Arabidopsis thaliana: one gene and its partners. The protein of the gene in region 2 purifies or fractionates together with the protein of the main gene of each other region. This does not show direct contact. Each region holds a gene or a part of one and is shown on either strand. Other genes may lie near its edges.

Evidence for each region.
Region 1: the proteins of GAUT1 (region 2) and ADL6 purify together in Arabidopsis thaliana (affinity purification with mass spectrometry, with the first as the bait; one study listed by BioGRID). This does not show direct contact.
Region 3: the proteins of GAUT1 (region 2) and AT2G18330 purify together in Arabidopsis thaliana (affinity purification with mass spectrometry, with the first as the bait; one study listed by BioGRID). This does not show direct contact.

The regions. Positions count from the first base shown.
Region 1 is NC_003070.9:3,368,762-3,376,457, forward strand, and holds the start of ADL6 (dynamin-like protein 6), read left to right. Parts: upstream 1-1,640; 5' UTR 1,641-2,012; coding exon 2,013-2,153; intron 2,154-2,436; coding exon 2,437-2,487; intron 2,488-2,583; coding exon 2,584-2,704; intron 2,705-2,833; coding exon 2,834-2,926; intron 2,927-3,270; coding exon 3,271-3,332; intron 3,333-3,502; coding exon 3,503-3,620; intron 3,621-3,766; coding exon 3,767-4,103; intron 4,104-4,208; coding exon 4,209-4,356; intron 4,357-4,682; coding exon 4,683-4,784; intron 4,785-4,864; coding exon 4,865-4,984; intron 4,985-5,251; coding exon 5,252-5,335; intron 5,336-5,419; coding exon 5,420-5,547; intron 5,548-5,650; coding exon 5,651-5,735; intron 5,736-5,852; coding exon 5,853-5,991; intron 5,992-6,216; coding exon 6,217-6,293; intron 6,294-6,363; coding exon 6,364-6,420; intron 6,421-6,702; coding exon 6,703-6,847; intron 6,848-6,934; coding exon 6,935-7,074; intron 7,075-7,413; coding exon 7,414-7,527; intron 7,528-7,640; and 1 more. UniProt on the Arabidopsis thaliana protein: Microtubule-associated force-producing protein involved in clathrin-mediated vesicle trafficking from the trans-Golgi network to the central vacuole. Able to bind and hydrolyze GTP. Binds specifically to phosphatidylinositol 3-phosphate (PtdIns3P).
Region 2 is NC_003074.8:22,619,998-22,626,308, forward strand, and holds GAUT1 (galacturonosyltransferase 1), read left to right. Parts: upstream 1-1,914; 5' UTR 1,915-2,314; intron 2,315-2,399; 5' UTR 2,400-2,401; coding exon 2,402-2,552; intron 2,553-2,879; coding exon 2,880-2,905; intron 2,906-3,004; coding exon 3,005-3,064; intron 3,065-3,154; coding exon 3,155-3,280; intron 3,281-3,369; coding exon 3,370-3,433; intron 3,434-3,510; coding exon 3,511-3,557; intron 3,558-3,671; coding exon 3,672-4,006; intron 4,007-4,100; coding exon 4,101-4,458; intron 4,459-4,568; coding exon 4,569-5,147; intron 5,148-5,241; coding exon 5,242-5,517; 3' UTR 5,518-5,811; downstream 5,812-6,311. Other genes in the region: AGL13 (AGAMOUS-like 13), read right to left, coding at 288-469. UniProt on the Arabidopsis thaliana protein: Involved in pectin biosynthesis. Catalyzes the transfer of galacturonic acid from uridine 5'-diphosphogalacturonic acid onto the pectic polysaccharide homogalacturonan.
Region 3 is NC_003071.7:7,963,606-7,969,664, forward strand, and holds AT2G18330 (AAA-type ATPase family protein), read left to right. Parts: upstream 1-2,029; 5' UTR 2,030-2,223; coding exon 2,224-2,508; intron 2,509-2,602; coding exon 2,603-2,698; intron 2,699-2,963; coding exon 2,964-3,074; intron 3,075-3,173; coding exon 3,174-3,483; intron 3,484-3,726; coding exon 3,727-3,817; intron 3,818-3,935; coding exon 3,936-4,269; intron 4,270-4,384; coding exon 4,385-4,533; intron 4,534-4,775; coding exon 4,776-5,310; 3' UTR 5,311-5,503; downstream 5,504-6,059. Other genes in the region: RL4 (RAD-like 4), read left to right, coding at 873-1,106; AT2G18340 (late embryogenesis abundant domain-containing protein / LEA domain-containing protein), read left to right, coding at 5,795-5,943.

The DNA.
Region 1 (7,696 bases), on a different chromosome or scaffold from region 2:
TCTACCCAAACAACAACACAGTGATGATCTCTGTTCCCCAAAAATAAAGTTTCAGGGAAACATTCTTATGATTCAAAGAGAATCTGATTGTTTCAAGCACAAATCCATTGCATTCAATCTCCTCGAGAAATTTCCTAAATTTGTAACATATAATTAAATCCAAGGATCAAACGAAATCGAAAAAGGTAAGTGGATAAATGGAAATTGGATCTGTGGAAATCTTCGAGGAAAGTGAGAAACGATGACTGAAACAGATCAGAAACTGAATTTCATGCAGAGAGGAAGAAGAAGAAGAAGAAACATAAACAAATCTGGTCTTTTGTTTCTTCCAGTTGAAATCTATGTGTGTGTGTGGTTGATTTTGATCTTATATATATAAAAGAACAAAATTAATTGGAATGTTATGCTTAATTTAATTAGATTAATTGAGTTTAAAACTCCACGTCGAAAAGCATAACGAGTTCAAAGTCCGCAGATCTTGCCAGATGGGAATAATCTATTGGTTTTAAGTTATTGGGCCGGAGGGCCCACGTTTAATTGTGACGTGGTTTAGTGCTCGTCAACTCTTTGGTCCGACATTTCACTTTTTTTTTTATAGAAATAATTCTAGATATCCAGTAGTCAAACTTATTGATTATCTAATTTCTATATCCTTACTATTTTTAAAAAAATTACTTTTAACATTTCTAGAATTTTTCGATTTTTTCTGTACTTATTAACTATTAGTAAAATTTATTGATGCTTCTTTTGGTTATGTTATAGTATTGAGACAATGTATTGTATTCTAATTTTGATTTTTTTTTTCCTTTTTAATGATTTGTAGATTTTGTTTTTTCATTATTATATTTGAAAAAATATCTTCTTATATCTTAATCACCAGAAAATCTAAAACCGATGGCTATACTAATTTCCGGAATATATGAAATGTTTATTTTTCTATTAAGGATCCAAAGCAGCTAATTAAGATTAAAAACTTGGGAAGAACTAGTATCCCAAACAAACAATATGATATCCAGATGTCCAAAAGGAAAAAGAAATGGTATCAAAAGAACCAAGAAATGTGCCTAGAAATTTCATATAGTTAGCTTGGAAATTTCTGATTTTTATGTCCAATGTTTATTTATTTTTTCCTTATAATTATACTTGTCATACATCACAAAGAATTGTCAACATTGCCAAACTAGTCCTAAGATGTTGGAAGGTATGATGATAGACAACAGTTCTAAAGAAGGGAAGATGAGATTCAGGCAACAAAAAACACATATAGTTCAAAAAAATTAGGTTGGTAGGATCAATTATTCAAAAAACATACACCAAATAGATTTTAGTAGGGGTTGTTTGTCCAAAAAAAAACTATAATAGTTTACGAAAATAGTTACACCTTGTGAATAGATTTTTTGTTTGCCTTCCCTTGAGGTAAATTATGTCGCGAGAACTATATGAACAACAACGAGATCCACAACAACATTTGATTACATTTTTATTTGAACCTTCACATTGATTTAGTAATGTGGGATTCCAACATCATCTAATGTTATATGAATGGATCTAATAGATGATAAATTGTTAAATGAACTGATAATTTTTTTTTATTTTTTTATGTGTATTTCACATCACATTGTTTTTTTTTTTTTTTTTTTAAGTAAGAAAAAGAAGAAGCACTTGAGACCGATCAGAAAAAAATTAGAAAGATATGATTTTTGTAAGTCTTTTGAAATTTGAATCTTGTCCCGTGTAATTGTGAAATCTTACGTACGTCCTCTTTATGACCTCGTCTTCGCTCATTTCTGCCTTCCCTTACGAAATCCCCAACGAAAAATCTTAGCTTAACACCATCGCGACCGGATTCCAAATTCCGGCCCATCGTCTCACCGGGAAAGACCCCGCCTATTGCCGCCGATTTCGGTTCCGGTCTGCTCAGATCTAATCGAGTGGCTTCCTTCTTCCTCCAGATCTCTTCACTTTGAATCGGTTACTCGATCTCGATTCGCGGAGGGCTTTTGCTAGTCGCGATGGAGGCGATCGATGAGTTGTCTCAGCTCTCAGATTCGATGAAGCAGGCGGCGTCTCTCCTCGCCGACGAAGATCCCGACGAAACCTCTTCTTCCAAGCGCCCTGCCACTTTCCTCAACGTCGTTGCCTTGGGAAATGTGGTGAGTTCCTCGCTCTCACTCCACGCTCCTCGATTTTCCTCTCTTTAGGCTCGTGCTGGTTTTATTCTGTGTTCGAGTGTATGTTGGATTGCCATATCGTGGATCTTCTGGATCTAGATTAGGTTTTTATCGAATTTTGCTAGGACACACTCATCGTTTATAGCTAGTTTTGTTGGGATTCTCTTTATTAGTGGATATATGGTTACATGAGGAGCGACTCGTGCCGGAGAAGGCTGATGTATTTTGTTATTTGTTACTTATCTCTTTTTGCATACTGAACCAGGGAGCTGGAAAGTCTGCAGTTCTAAACAGTCTAATTGGGCATCCAGTGCTGGTAAGTTGTACATTGAGTCTATGGTTATTATTGGCTTACTCCTTTTCTTATACTAATACTGACCTCTGTTGTGTCTGCTACACTTACTATACACAGCCGACGGGTGAGAATGGTGCTACACGAGCTCCTATAATAATTGAATTGAGCAGGGAGAGTTCTTTGAGCAGCAAGGCAATTATCTTGCAAATCGACAATAAATCTCAACAAGTTTCTGCAAGTAAGTCTCTATCTATGAACATATGCAATTTAGCAATGCTATGTGAGGCTCTTTCTGCATTTATGATAAAAAAATTTCGATCAGTCTTCTCATAATATCTCCATTGTGTTCTACATGGGTATATTTTAGGTGCTTTGAGACATTCTCTGCAAGATAGACTTAGCAAAGGAGCCTCAGGGAAGAATCGTGATGAAATAAACTTAAAACTTCGTACCAGCACAGGTAAGCCCCTTTTTACTTGCACAATCATAAGTGGCAAGCCTATATCTACTCTTCAAATAGCACATCCTTAGCTAACCTAAGTTGGGTGTATGAATTTATCTTTGATACCCGTGAACTGGTCAGCTGTAATATCTTGCTATCCTTATATACTATCTAGTACACTAGTTTAGAGCTTCTAGCTTTACTTTGGTGGGTATCAGATTAAATATCTAACGGAGCTTTAACATAAACAGTACACACTCTTTTGAACATGAGTTATGACATATGACATATGACCGACAGTTTCGTAGTATTAAATTTTCTTTGACCATCATAACCTGTTACGTTTACCCTTTACATTGCAGCTCCACCATTGAAATTAGTTGATCTGCCTGGACTGGACCAGAGAATTGTGGACGAGTCAATGGTGAGGCTTGGAACTACTTAATGCCATTGTCATATCCTTAACTTGCCTGACAACCACGAAACAAAAGATTTTGACTATTTTTATCGGTTTCCTACTGAAGTGATAATATAGATTCATTATCATGTTTATCCTTTTGAAATTGTTGTTTGTTTCTTGGGTCTCTTTGCAAGATTGCTGAATACGCGCAACACAATGATGCCATACTGCTGGTTATAGTGCCTGCTAGCCAGGCATCTGAAATTTCATCATCCCGAGCCCTGAAGATTGCAAAGGAGTATGATCCAGAGAGTGAGTACATCTGTATTTCCGATCTGTCTTATCTTAATATTGTTTATTATTTGTATACCTGATAAGAACTGTTGATTTACCTACCTATTATCACTTCAGTTTGCTTAAAATACTCATTAGCTAACATCACTCCTCCCTACTTATAGGTACTAGGACAATAGGCATTATTGGAAAAATTGACCAGGCAGCAGAGAACTCGAAAGCCCTTGCAGCTGTTCAGGCTCTTCTTTCAAATCAAGGACCTCCAAAAACAACTGACATTCCATGGGTTGCTGTTATTGGCCAATCCGTTTCAATTGCGTCAGCACAGTCTGGAAGTGGTGAGAACTCCTTAGAAACTGCTTGGCGTGCTGAGAGTGAAAGTCTTAAGTCCATTTTGACTGGGGCTCCACAAAGCAAGCTTGGCAGAATTGCGTTGGTGGATACCCTTGCTAGCCAGATTCGTAGCAGAATGAAGCTCAGGCTTCCAAGTGTCCTGTCTGGGTATTGCTTCTCTCCATATATGTGCTTTCTTCATGATTTTTATTATGGTGTTGGCATATGACATTGGTTGCTTGAACGCATATGGCTTTCAAATTCTTTGTACAGGCTCCAGGGTAAGTCTCAAATAGTGCAGGATGAGCTAGCGAGGCTTGGTGAACAACTAGTTAACAGTGCTGAAGGTACAAGGGCTATAGCTTTGGAGCTTTGCCGTGAGTTTGAAGACAAGTTTCTTCTGCACTTGGCTGGTGGTGAAGTAAGTACATTCTTACAAAAGTTAACTAGATTTAGTCGAAAATTCAAGAATATAGTGAGAGAGAAGAACTCTTCAAATATTAGCAATCAGCCATTTCAGATTTGGTACTAGTGTAGTGGAAAGTCTCTTGCTAGCCTACGCTTGGTAAGAGCACATTATATTGTTGGGAATCTCATGAATCTGATAGTGGATGTTTATAATATGTGTATAAGCCAACTGAGTGTTTGATATAGAGTTTTTGTACTTGTCTGTGTTCAGTTTATGGGCTGAAGTCCCTTTTGGAGCTTGGCAAATGTTTTTCTCAAAACTTTTTGATTCTTGTTCAGGGAAGTGGTTGGAAAGTTGTTGCAAGTTTTGAAGGAAATTTCCCCAACCGTATCAAGCAGCTTCCATTGGATAGACATTTTGACCTGAACAATGTTAAAAGGGTGGGTGTCTTCTTCTGTCCTAAGTTTCTGCACGAGACAAGTTTTGAGACTTGATTTGTCAAAATATCTTTGATTTTCAGGTTGTTTTGGAGGCAGATGGTTATCAACCTTATCTTATATCTCCAGAGAAAGGGTTGAGATCGTTGATAAAGATTGTCCTTGAGTTGGCTAAAGACCCGGCACGCCTTTGTGTTGATGAGGTGTGCTTGTTTACATGTTTTTTTAGGTACATGCAGTAGGATTGAATTTTAGAAATTTACTGCATTGTGAACTGGCTATGGCTTGTCTCACTTTAATTCTTCGAACTGTTATTTAGAGTTCTGTCAAGTTTTCTGGTTTATAAGCCTTAGTAAGTTAATATCCCTTACCGTAGATGTAGCTATTTTTTGGTTCCTACTTTAAAACTCATGCATCCAGCTTCTGTCTTATTTACGTGTTGAGCTAACATGGTCTTAACTTTTGATTAGGTTCACCGAGTTCTTGTTGACATAGTTTCAGCTTCTGCAAATGCTACACCTGGACTTGGGAGATATCCTCCTTTCAAGCGAGAGGTAATAATGATTTTTTGGTGCTTTATTCAGTAATATTTTATCATTTCGGTAACAGTTATTCCTTTCTGACTAATCATCAACCAGGTTGTAGCTATAGCAAGTGCAGCACTTGATGGTTTCAAGAATGAAGCCAAGAAAATGGTGGTTGCACTAGTTGATATGGAACGCGCTTTTGTACCACCTCAACATTTTATCCGTCTTGTGCAAAGGAGGTATTTTGGCTTGTCTTTCTTTGCAATTTTTGTTTTTATTTTCAATGGTTCATGACTGAAAATTATTTCTCTTTCTGACGATGCACTGTATTGACTCCATCAGAATGGAAAGACAACGTCGCGAGGAAGAGCTGAAAGGGCGATCTTCTAAGAAGGGACAAGATGCAGAGCAGTCCCTTTTAAGCAGGGTGTGTGTTCATTCTGTATCAATTTGGATATACGTAGTGAAAAATGTTTTTTTTTTTTTTTTATCGTTTTACATGAAAATATATAATGTGGAAATTCTCTACATATATGTTTATCAGGCTACTAGTCCTCAGCCAGATGGGCCAACAGCTGGTGGTAGCTTAAAATCAATGAAAGACAAACCTAGTCCGCAAGATAAAGAGACGCCGGAGGTCTCTGGTCTGAAAACTGCTGGACCTGAGGGGGAGATAACAGCAGGTTGTTATTCTAATATACATCTACCCAGTTACTGTCTAAAAAGTTTCATTCTGCTTTTTCACTCCCGATTTGCTTTCCTTACGTTGCATGATTTTATTGCTGCAAAGCTTTGCTCTTAGTCCAAGTGCATGATTTCTTCATGTCTTTTTCTTCTTTATCACTTAAAACTAACTTGACAAAACTAACTTCCAAGGTAGATAACAAATACTTACTCTTTTCATTTAGGGTACTTAATGAAGAAAAGTGCAAAAACAAATGGGTGGAGTAGGCGATGGTTTGTTCTGAATGAGAAAACTGGAAAGGTCAGCATTTTGAAACGTATATTCTTCAGTTGTTGAGAACTTACTGACTTTACTGTTTACCTTTTTCTAGCTTGGCTATACCAAAAAGCAAGAAGAAAGAAACTTTCGGGGCACGATAACTTTGGAGGTACCATTCTCTTCCTATGCTTTATTTTCTGCCAAAGGTGAACTATAATTAGATATGACATGGAAAAAAGAATTAGAGAAGAATATAGTTCGTATTCACCTTGTTATTTTCTCCCACACTGTTTCCTTCTTGGAGAGTGACAATTACTTGTGTATTTTGAAGCTTATGCTTCAAATATTTAATAGTTCTGTTATTATCGATGAGAAATTTGGATACTCTATAGATAACATTTTTTCCATGTTTTTCTAATTATACTTCCTCCAACTTTATTAATCCACTCAGGAATGCACTATTGAAGAAATCCCCGAGGACGAAGTAGAAAAGTCAAAGAGCTCGAAGGACAAGAAGGCAAATGGACCTGATTCAAAAGGACCAGGCCTTGTGTTTAAAATAACCTGCAAGGTTCCCTATAAGACTGTACTCAAAGGTACATAAATCAATCATTATAAGAATTCAAACTTCTTAATCTTCTATTCGCACTTTTATGAGTTTTCCTCAAACTATTATGTTGCAGCTCACAATGCCCTTGTGCTTAAGGCTGAGAGTGTAGTCGACAAGAACGAGTGGATTAATAAGTTGCAAAAGGTTATCCAGGCTCGTGGAGGCCAAGTGGGCAGTGTTTCCATGAGGCAGAGTCTTTCAGAAGGTTCACTTGTGAGTCACTCATGGGCAGCTTTTCTTACATTTCCTCTTCCTTAAATCTATGTTAGATACGTTCACTAGTCTTATGGATTACTTATTATCACTATGAAGAAAGTTTGAAACTTCACTTCGGAAGGTTTGAAACTGTTGGAAGAGCAAACAAAGCTATTTATGTTTTATTGAACATTGTCGAATTTTTATTATTGAAACATTTTTCCTATAGAAGGCTCAGTTTATGGGGTATGCATGATACTACTTTTAAACTTGACATAAGTTATGTTTGACATTTAAGGTTTTTATTGTTTATAATATTTTCTGAGACTTACGTTTTTTTCCTTGTCTGTATTTCAGGATAAGATGGTTAGGAAACCCATCGATCCAGAAGAGGAGCTCCGGTGGATGTCCCAAGAAGTACGGGGTTACGTTGAAGCTGTTCTTAACAGCCTTGCAGCCAATGTTCCAAAGGTGAACTATCCTTATGCAAAAGCTCGAAAGCTCTAAATTTTCTTGTCCATCTCTTTTCTCTTACAGAGATTCCTCGGTCATGCTACTAAGCGATGTGAATTGACCATGAACAGGCTGTTGTTCTTTGTCAAGTAGAGAAAGCAAAGGAAGACATGCTGAATCAACTCTA
Region 2 (6,311 bases):
ACAAAGAAGTTTTCTTTCAAAAGATTTACCGGATCTAAAAGCTAAACTGACCCATATGTCCGATGGATCCTGAGAGATCGATGGATGGTGATCAACCTTAACTAGTTAGGGTTAGAATAAAAAGACATAACCTTTTTCAGATACCCACAAGACAGAATTTGGTTTCTTGATCTTAAGAACAGACACAAATCAAACATGGATGATCTTAATCATATTACCCATGAAAACCTAGGTTTTCATCATTAGGAAAACCGAATTAATGATCTTGAATGAATGGATATACGTACCCGACATTGCTGAACTCGTAGAGCTTGCCACCGGTGGAGAAGATTATGAGAGAAACCTCTGCATCACAAAGAACAGAGAGTTCGTAGGCTTTCTTGAGCAAACCACTTTTTCTTTTGGAGAAGGTTACTTGTCTAGTGATCTTGTTCTCAATTCTCTTCACTTCCACTTTGCCTCTTCCCATCTCTCACTCGCTCTCTCTCTTCTTTCTACGTTGTTTCTTGTCTTTAATATCTCTCAATGTTGGAAGTTTACATGTACATATCAATCAAAATGAATTACTTTAGTTCTATTGCTGGATATACGTAAAAAAAAAAAGCGTATTTATTAACCCTATAGTTTCTCTTTTTCTTATCAACCTATTTCAACCCTACATACATAGTGGAACCGAGTTTTATCTCAATAGGACAATATCTCATCATAAATTACAAAGTTCTCATTTCAATTACCATGCAAGAAGAATTCACTTTCCGTTTATTAATTATAGCTAGAGTGTAAAATGGTAATGATCTTACTGTTGTTTGACCCAAATGAAAATTCTTTTGGTATATAAAAAATTAATTGATAGGAACAAAACGAAAACTTTCTCCTACCTAGAATTAGAAGTATGGAAATACAGTTGGACCACTGGAAAAATCATCATTATTTCTTTTAATATCAGTATTTGATGACATATTGTTCAAAGTTCAAACTGGCACTCAAGAAAAATTGATATTCTTTTTTGATATGCAACAGTTGGACCAAACCTTTTTACTTAATAAAGTTTACATCTATTGTGATTCTTCAAACTAACACTTATATAAAACTGTTTTTTTTTTGTTCAATGGCTATGATTTCGTCAAGGTTAATTTGTACATGTAAACAATTAAACGTTCATCCACTAAATGTTGTTCAACCTGAACCGATGTGGAGTCAGTAAAAAACATATAAGACATCGACCCTAATGACAAAAAACAGAGTGTAACTATATTACGTGTGTGAAGTTTATTACTAGTTCGGGAAGTTTTAATTGGTCAAAAGGCGCAGGAAGGTTCATCATTTGTTGTTGAAAAGTTGCATTCCTTTTCAAAAGAAAAAAAAGTAAGGTTTTTATGAAAAAGCCTTTCAAGAGAAAACAAATTTTGGTTATATCTTATTTATATGGTTTGACAACTGAATCAAACATTTACCAAGGTTGTATTTGATCATTATTACTAAAAATAAAATCAGCTAAAAAAAAACCATTACTAGGTCTAGTTACAGTGTTACACTGTATTGTAAATCATTTAGTAATAAACCAAACAAATTACTATCATCATTTTTAATTTGTGTAGTCATTACATACATGCAAAATTGTAAATTAAATTATAAAATCATGCCATACTATACTGCTAGATGAAAATTGAATTGTCATATCAAATTAAAAATTAATGTATTTTCATGAAAACTGGAAAAAAAAAACTATTAAATTAGAAAGGCGAAATTCAACGTGACGCATCTATCTATATAGGCTTGGGCTTATAATATATACAAAAGCCCAGTTAATTATTAATGGGTCGAAGTCGAAACTTGAAAGCAAGCAGTGTCATCGTTCTATTTATCATCAGCCCAAAAAAGGAAGAAAAAACAAATCAATTTTATGTTCGTTTGGTATAATATCGATTTTAATTTTAACCAAGTAAACCGGATAGGAGGAGATTCGTAAATTGTAATCGATAAAAGAGATCTGTGTCAAAAGTACGCGTGAGGTTCTCTCTTCTCTGCAAACAAAAATCCTGGCGTTGATAGCGATTGGTTAATTGTCGGTGAATCAACGTTTTTCTGTTACACATATCAATCAATCATCATCCTCTTCATACTCTCTTCTTCTTCTTCATCGTAATCATTAGCTTCAATTCCGAGTTTTCTCTTCGTCGCCGTTGTGCTAGAGTTTTGTCAGATCTCGCCGGGAAATTAGCAATGGCGTTTTAGTCTGTTTACCTGTGAAGCTTTTGCGTAAACGCTGGATTCTTCTCAAATCTCTCTCACCTGATCTCTTATTAGATTCCGAGTATGATTTGTTTCTCTCCTTCATTATATTCGGGTTGCTTCCACGATTTCGTTGCTTGATTTAGTTTTTTTTTTGAATTTGATAGGGATGGCGCTAAAGCGAGGGCTATCTGGAGTTAACCGGATTAGAGGAAGTGGTGGTGGATCTCGATCTGTGCTTGTGCTTCTCATATTTTTCTGTGTTTTTGCACCTCTTTGCTTCTTTGTTGGCCGAGGAGTGTATATCGATTCCTCAAATGGTATGCATATATTGCTTATCTTTCTATATACTAATTTGCAGATTCATGTATAGAGATTCAGAAATTCTATTAATGATTGAGAACATTAGCATAGTTTTACCACTCTTTAGTTTTCAGCCTTTACTATCTCAATTTTAAGTTACTTTTAGCTTGATGTGACACTGATGATATTCAGACAATTGCTATTTTTCTAGACTGGCAAAATTGGTTCTTTGCTATTTTACTATCGAGCTTTGGTTTCAAGGATTAGTGTCTCTCGATTTTGTGTTACATATATAATTTATCTGCGAATTGTCCATCTGATGGAGCTTACTTTCATTACTGCAGATTATTCAATTGTTTCTGTGAAGCAGGTATGTCGGCTTAAACTCTATCAAATTATCTACTTGTATGTTTTGACAGAAGTAAGAATGTTGTTTGATTGGACTGTTTTTTTTTGTTTTTTTTGGCAGAATCTTGACTGGAGAGAACGTTTAGCAATGCAATCTGTTAGATCTCTTTTCTCGAAAGAGGTAGTTTAAATCTTTGAAACTTTGCTTCGATTTATTGTCTTTGTCAGTTTTTCTGAGACTGGATAGTTTCTTACTAAATTTGTTGTCCAGATACTAGATGTTATAGCAACCAGCACAGCTGATTTGGGTCCTCTTAGCCTTGATTCTTTTAAGAAAAACAATTTGTCTGCATCATGGCGGGGAACCGGAGTAGACCCCTCCTTTAGACATTCTGAGGTGTGGTTTAAGTGTCTCATTTCTTTTCTAAGCTTCTATTCTCAATGATGTTTTCTCATAGTTTTCATCTTTTGCTGTACTTGAGGCAGAATCCAGCAACTCCTGATGTCAAATCTAATAACCTGAATGAAAAACGTGACAGCATTTCAAAAGGTAGTGGCTTTTAATTTAAGTGGCATCTCTGATTTGACGTTTTCCATCTCTGATTCTTCTATATATTGCTGATGCAGATAGTATCCATCAGAAAGTTGAGACACCTACAAAGATTCACAGAAGGGTAACTATTATTTATTAAAGTTCAATGTCATGATGCATCAAATACTCTTTAGGGACTTCTTGTGTCTTTAGTATTTCATTATCAACATTTTTTTTATCCATCTTGACATTTCAGCAACTAAGAGAGAAAAGGCGTGAGATGCGGGCAAATGAGTTAGTTCAGCACAATGATGACACGATTTTGAAACTCGAAAATGCTGCCATTGAACGCTCTAAGTCTGTTGATTCTGCAGTCCTTGGTAAATACAGTATTTGGAGAAGAGAAAATGAGAATGACAACTCTGATTCAAATATACGCTTGATGCGGGATCAAGTAATAATGGCTAGAGTCTATAGTGGGATTGCAAAATTGAAAAACAAGAACGATTTGTTACAAGAACTCCAGGCCCGACTTAAGGACAGCCAACGGGTTTTGGGGGAAGCAACATCTGATGCTGATCTTCCTCGGAGGTAAATTACTCCTTTTGGTTTCTACTACTTGCCTTTTTTCGACTGCTTGTGTACTTCTTAAAGTAACATGCTCTCTAAATTACTTTTCATATAGTGCGCATGAGAAACTCAGAGCCATGGGTCAAGTCTTGGCTAAAGCTAAGATGCAGTTATATGACTGCAAGCTGGTTACTGGAAAGCTGAGAGCAATGCTTCAGACTGCCGACGAACAAGTGAGGAGCTTAAAGAAGCAGAGTACTTTTCTGGCTCAGTTAGCAGCAAAAACCATTCCAAATCCTATCCATTGCCTATCAATGCGCTTGACTATCGATTACTATCTTCTGTCTCCGGAGAAAAGAAAATTCCCTCGGAGTGAAAACCTAGAAAACCCTAATCTTTATCATTATGCCCTCTTTTCCGACAATGTATTAGCTGCATCAGTAGTTGTTAACTCAACCATCATGAATGCCAAGGTAAAATCATTAGCTCTTATCACTTGATTCGTCCTAATATCTGTATGTTTAATTTTAGATACGCATTGCAGAGCTGAAATTAAAAATGTCTTTATTCCCTATATGTGCAGGATCCTTCTAAGCATGTTTTTCACCTTGTCACGGATAAACTCAATTTCGGAGCAATGAACATGTGGTTCCTCCTAAACCCACCCGGAAAGGCAACCATACATGTGGAAAACGTCGATGAGTTTAAGTGGCTCAATTCATCTTACTGTCCTGTCCTTCGTCAGCTTGAATCTGCAGCAATGAGAGAGTACTATTTTAAAGCAGACCATCCAACTTCAGGCTCTTCGAATCTAAAATACAGAAACCCAAAGTATCTATCCATGTTGAATCACTTGAGATTCTACCTCCCTGAGGTTTATCCCAAGCTGAACAAAATCCTCTTCCTGGACGATGACATCATTGTTCAGAAAGACTTGACTCCACTCTGGGAAGTTAACCTGAACGGCAAAGTCAACGGTGCAGTCGAAACCTGTGGGGAAAGTTTCCACAGATTCGACAAGTATCTCAACTTTTCGAATCCTCACATTGCGAGGAACTTCAATCCAAATGCTTGTGGATGGGCTTATGGAATGAACATGTTCGACCTAAAGGAATGGAAGAAGAGAGACATCACTGGTATATACCACAAGTGGCAAAACATGGTAAATAACTCTTTAATTCTTTGCAACAAATAGTCTAATGATGGTTTATTATTTTATTTATTGTGGTTTGCTCATTTTGGCTTGTGTTGTTTAGAATGAGAACAGGACACTATGGAAGCTAGGGACATTGCCACCAGGATTAATAACATTCTACGGATTAACACATCCCTTAAACAAGGCGTGGCATGTGCTGGGACTTGGATATAACCCGAGTATCGACAAGAAGGACATTGAGAATGCAGCAGTGGTTCACTATAACGGGAACATGAAACCATGGTTGGAGTTGGCAATGTCCAAATATCGGCCGTATTGGACCAAGTACATCAAGTTTGATCACCCATATCTTCGTCGTTGCAACCTTCATGAATAAAATCAAATCTTTGTTAGATGATTTGAGGTAATTACTTCTAATGTTCTGTTGTTCCCATTCCATTGCTCTTTATTCCACACATTGTTAATTGTTTATTCATATCGTTTTTTAGTCATTCTTTTCTTCTCTTCTTCTTTCGGGTTAAAAACACTTATGTTATTTTTTGAGTTTTTCTAATGATAGTAATATGTTTCTGGAGATTCTCTTGATGGTCTTGTGAAAAAATTGAAGAACACATACTATCTCTCTATTTACTATATACTGTAAGTCAAAATAATAATCCAATTTTTTGTTGATGTGTCATTAATAAATAAATAACTATCATTAATAATTGGATTGGTTACACATTTTAAATTTTATTTATGTTTGGATATCCAATTTTTTTTTTTCCATTGCTAATTTAATTGTTATCATTATGATGTTCATATTCTTTTCTTGTATTGGATCATATTGTATATCTTTATTTTCCAATTGTAAATATTCAAAATAATATATTTTCTTGGAAAAAAATCTATTGTGGTTTCTCTTTTTTTATATAAGCAACTATTTAATGGTAATATGACATATAATAATAATTTAAAAAATTAGATAGTATTTAGATTTTAGACTATTAGTGGAAAATTTTACAAAATAAATAAATCCCAACTATGATAGAAACCCAAATTGAGTGAAAATAGAAGATGGGCTTTAAATCGGACCGACGCTTATTGCTTACTAATACAAATCGCCCTTCCTTAAGGTCTGAAGACGAAACGAAGAACAAACACTGAAACAAAAGAGAAAAATCCCAAAGC
Region 3 (6,059 bases), on a different chromosome or scaffold from region 2:
CTACAACACTACAACAGATACTCAATAAATTTCAGTAAATATAAGATTACCTGAAGTTGCTCTTTTTTTATTTATTGAATACCATGAGGTTTTAAGCCGAAACCCGTAATTCTCCAAAGCCCGAAATCACATCATGTAATATTAGTTTCATCTCAAACGTCACTCGAACCGGCGACCTCTAAGCATGTAAATTGCTTAACGATCTTTGGAGCCAAGAATGGCAAAATCACAATCCCACAATGGAAACAATATAAAAGTTAACTAAGCTAATCCAACAATGCAAAGAGGAACTCTATAGAGATTATATTATTTTCAATCATACAAGAAAAAAAAATTGCAAAAAATATTAAACACAAGCTTAACAATCACATGCTTTATGAATAGTATCGGATACGATAGGGGGTTAATTCGACACTAATGATGATGATAAGATCCAAAATGCTGAAAGAGGTAAGGGAGGGTCCAATAGTTATTGGTAAACTTTACGGACACTAGCAAGAAAAAGGAAGCCTCCTAATTTCCTTATAGCAATGGTCAAGAGAATCTCATTCCACTAAAACTATTAAACCTTTATTATGTCCTTTAAGGGACTAGACTCTAATGATCATTATCATATCAAAGCTTCTATCAAAACTTTTGTCCCTTCACTAAAATTTTATGTGGTAGCTAAAAGAATGGTCATTCTAAAAATCTCTCATTTCAAAGTATATATTCTTCCAACTGGCTTATAACCCCACACATTGCTTTTCTCCTCCTACATATAAGGAGCTCCACACTCCCTCAAACTAAACCAATTCAAGTCATCTCTATCCGTCAACAATACAAACCAACCTTCTCAATTCCTCTCTTTTCATCCACATTTTCACTAGCTAATGGCTTCTAGTTCAATGAGCACCTCATCATGGACAGCTAGAGAGGACAAGCAATTCGAAATGGCGTTGGCGAAATTCGACAAGGACACTCCTGACCGTTGGCAAAAAATTGCAAGGGCAGTTGGTGGGAAATCAACTGAAGAAGTAAAGCGACACTATGAATTGCTCCTTAGGGATGTGAATGACATTGAGTCAGGACGCTATCCACAACCTAGGTACCGTAACACTAATTGAAGCCATTAATAAAATGCCTTTCTATCAAGAAGAGGACATTTGAGAGAATCTATAAAGAACTAAGAATTTCGATGTATTTCTTATATTCTATTTGCTTTCTTTTTTTGTTTTTTTTTTTAATTTCTGTTTGGTTTTCAGATATATAATAATCTCTCTCAATATCCATCCTATTCTAATCCAATCAATTTAAGTTCATATAGTAACAGTCTCGGAACATTCTATCAGTTTTATGGATTAAGCATACGAAAAATCAGAAATCATCGAGATTTGATCGATCAAACTTCGTATAAGTCGAAGTCATTATTATTTATTTATGATAAATTATAAATCGAAGTTGATAGAGAAAAGCAAGACTTATTTTTGCACTATAAACCAACATCAATGCGTAGCATGAGATCAATAAACATAATCTTCACACTGAAATCGAAGGATTCACGAAACAAAATTATTGATGTTCAATGAAAGAGGAGAAGATGAATGTTTCGAAGTTCGGTAACGGAGTAATTATGACTGCTAATATCCTTCGGGTTACCGTGAACTACACGTTATGTAAGCAAATTTTGGGCGGGAACTTTTACACTCTTTTGTTTCTTAATATACACATTTATTTTTAAAATATTTCAGTTGTTGAAAATTAACTAATACACTACAAGCTCAAATATTTATATATTTCTCTATATAGAAATAAATTTATGGACAAAAAAACGAAAATATGCTTAAACGTAAAACTAATATAAACGATATTATTAAACACAATTTGTATAGGGGAAAAAAAAACGATCAAAGATTCAATTCTCCTGTCAAAGGATCAAATGTGAAAAATGGCCTTACAAATGGGCTAAAATATGGGCCTATATTTAATTTTTGGCCCATATCTGGATTCGAGTAGTCTCCAAACAACCGATGTGTCATACATAGCTCACAAGTCAGTCATAACTCATAACCTAGCCACCGTGGGTTTATGCTCGGGCCTACCGGAGAGACATTTCCGACGACTGTGCACAATCATTTCTATTAACCTTGAGAGTACCATTTTCTCATTCCGAAATGTTTGAATTGTAAAAGGACTTTTGTTTCTTGCTTGGGGTTTAGGAGGCTGCTTTTTAGTCGTATTTCAATGGCTGCTTCTAGATTATGTTCCGCGGCGGCGATAGCTGCTGCGTTCACTTCAATGTCGATGTCACAGAACCGCGCTTACGCTGACTCGCGATTTCGCTTTCCTTTCTTCTCTTCTTCACCTCCGGCAGAAGAATCTCCAACCGATCATAAGTCTTCTTCGAATTCTAAATCGGAGACTAAACCTGACTCCGATGAGCCTAAAGGATCTGGTTTCGATCCTGAGTCATTGGAAAGAGGTGCTAAAGCTCTTCGTGAAATCAATAGCTCTCCTCATTCCAAACAGGTGATAATTGAATCTCTTTCGAGAAATCAACAAGCTCTAGAGTCGTTGATTCTTGTGTTTTGAGACGTTGCTTACATGTTATTGTGTTCACCAGGTGTTTGATCTAATGCGAAAGCAGGAGAAGACTCGATTAGCTGAATTAGCGGCTGAGAAAGAACATAATGAAGCTATTCAAGCTAGCAAGGACATTGTTAGTAACTTGCTCTTCCTTATGTTATATATTGAAAATTTGAGCATGGAGGTTTTGATATGATGTTCCATTGCATTGTCTTTCAAGTTACATTCTCTAAATCTTATTAGGATGTTGGAATCAACTGTCTTTTCGGTGTCTTTGTTGTTTCCTGCTTCAAAGTTTTGCTGAACATTCGTTGCAGAATCTGAAATTTATTATGTTGTAACATTTTAAGTCTGGGAAGCGACAAATATGATTGTTTTATGGGGCTTTGAATGAGCAGGAAAGACAGCGGAAATTGGCAGAGGATCAGAGAAATTTAGTGCAGCAACAGGCCCAAGCGAAAGCGCAAAATCTTAGATATGAGGATGAGTTGGCCAGGAAGAGAATGCAGGTACATTTTTAGAAAGAAACTGTGAACCTATGTGTAACATTTTAAGGTCTTGTGAGGGTTCTTTACTGAGAAGAAGTCTTTGACTTGGAAATTTTGCAGACAGATAATGAAGCTCAGAGACGGCATAATGCTGAATTGGTTTCGATGCAAGAAGCATCTTCTATACGGAAAGAGAAAGCAAGAATTGCCACGGAAGAACAGATTCAAGCACAGCAGCGCGAGACTGAGAAAGAGAGAGCGGAACTTGAGCGAGAAACAATTCGCGTGAAAGCTATGGCTGAGGCTGAAGGCCGAGCTCATGAAGCTAAACTCACTGAGGAGCAGAATAGAAGAATGCTTCTAGATAAGATAAATGGTGAAAGGGAGAAATGGCTTGCAGCAATCAACACGACTTTCAGTCACATTGAAGGTATGGAACTTATAAGCATTGTCCCTTAGATATACACATCTTGTTATACTTAGATTCCCTCAGTTTCTAGTTTCTTTTATATCTGTGGTTCTCCTTGGATTTTTCTGAAATTAAGCAACCTTCTGAGGAATATTTGAGAAGACAATCACCTGGCCAATTATGATTCTCTTCTCTAGGAAGTTATATGCTTCTGATATTTTGGAAATGTGGCTTCATATTCACTTCCCTATATGATCTTGGCAGGAGGAGTAAGGACCTTATTAACTGATCGAAGTAAATTGATTATGACTGTTGGAGGAGTTACGGCATTAGCCGCTGGGGTTTACACAACTCGGTATGCATTGCTTAACATGATTTAAGAAGCCTAACATAAGTAAATTGATTATTATCGCATTTTTAAAACTTATACAGCTGTGATTTAAGAAGCCTAATCGTTCTTTTCTTGACAACAGAGAAGGTGCTAGGGTTACCTGGGGTTATATCAATAGAATTCTTGGGCAGCCATCACTGATCAGAGAATCTTCCATGGGCCGATTCCCATGGGCAGGCTCAGTGTCTCAGTTTAAGAACAAACTTAGCACAGCTGCAGGGGCAGCAGCATCTGCAGAAGGAGAAAAGCCTCTTGAAAATGTAATTCTCCATCGTTCTTTGAAGACGAGAATTGAGCGTCTTGCAAGAGCCACAGCAAATACCAAGTCACATAAAGCACCATTCCGAAACATGATGTTTTATGGGCCTCCAGGTACCGGAAAAACTATGGTGGCGAGGGAGATTGCTCGGAAGTCGGTGAGTTTGTTTTCTTTATGCAACAGAGAACCTGAGCCAAGTTCAGGAATCTACAATAGATTGAACCATTACATGCCTCACTTATTTACATCTGTTTGATTATTTCGTTCTGCAGGGTCTTGATTATGCTATGATGACAGGAGGAGATGTTGCTCCTCTTGGTGCACAGGCTGTTACAAAGATCCATGAAATATTTGATTGGGCTAAGAAATCAAACAAAGGGTTACTGCTTTTCATCGATGAAGCTGATGCTTTCCTATGCGAGTAAGATGCTTTCACCTTTTACCTCAAGCCTTCAGTTATATTACTGATTCTCATCTACTAGACCTCTAAAATATAGAATATAGTTGAACAAAAATTTCTTGTATTCTGATTGCAAACACAATTCCACAATGTAGTATAGTCGCAGTAGGATCAGTGGATTGTTCTTGCGCATTGTTACTTCTACTGTATCTCCAGAGTTCTCTTGTCTTAATAGTTATCAAATTCTTGATCTTTTATCACAGACGTAACAGCACTTACATGAGTGAGGCTCAGCGCAGCGCTCTGAACGCGTTGCTCTTTCGAACCGGTGATCAATCGCGGGACATAGTCCTTGTCCTGGCTACAAACAGACCTGGAGATCTCGACAGTGCAGTCACTGACAGGATCGACGAAGTTATCGAGTTTCCTCTCCCTGGTGAAGAAGAACGCTTCAAGCTCCTCAAGCTCTATCTCAACAAGTACCTAATGGGTGACGACAAGAAAGGTGAGAAAGACTCAAACCTTAAATGGAGCAACTTGTTCAAGAAGAAGAAGTCACAGAAGATAACCATTGAAGGAGACCTAACCGACCAAGTGATTAAAGAAGCTGCAAAAAAGACAGAAGGCTTTTCTGGTCGTGAAATCGCTAAGCTTGTCGCCGGTGTTCAAGCTGCGGTATATGGACGACAGGATTGTGTCTTGGATTCCCAACTTTTTGAAGAAATTGTGGATTATAAGATCGAAGAACATCACCAGAGAATCAGACTTGCGACTGAAGGTGGCCAATCGTTTCCGTAGATCTTTTTGTATCACCGAATCACTCCGTTGTTTCGATTCTATTAAACTGAAATAGTAACATTGTTTGAGTAACCGGTTCAATTTCGGTTAGCTGGAATTTGGTCCAATTTTTATCGTAGGTTTCCCGGTTATACAAACCGCTTCAGACACATGTGATGTGACCTCTCTAATCTTATTGCTTTCAAGTTTCAAAGTGTGGTCTCTGAGGGGAACACGGCCAGCCGTATAATAGGACACGTGGTGAATACTCAGAGAAAGCTCCACAACCAAACCGCATCCTTGGTTGCCACGTAACCTCGTGCAAACACGTGGCGAACAGTAACCGCTTCTCGGAAAGACCTCTGGTCTTTGGATTCGAACGTCTCTCTATAACTATAACTTCCGAGGACATTGGAACTAGGATCAAAACTTTTTAAAAAGGGACAAAACTAAATTGGTCATAGCAAATTCAAAGAAGTTTGATTCGGAATCACTGGTTAAAGAGATGATGGAGAGAAGAAGAACGGCATTGGTATTGTTTGTGGTAGTGGTGGTGTTGACGTGGCAAGAGGGTGTATTGGGGAAATGGTTAGAGTCGACGGCGAAGGAAAAGACCGGTTCATGGGCTGGTTGGGTCTCCGACAAAATCACCACGTAAGTGATATCTAATATCCGAAACTGAAACACACCTGTGGTTGAATCTGTCCTTTACGTAACCATCACGTTGATCCAATTCAGTCTATACTTTCTCTCATTTGGATGTTAAGTAC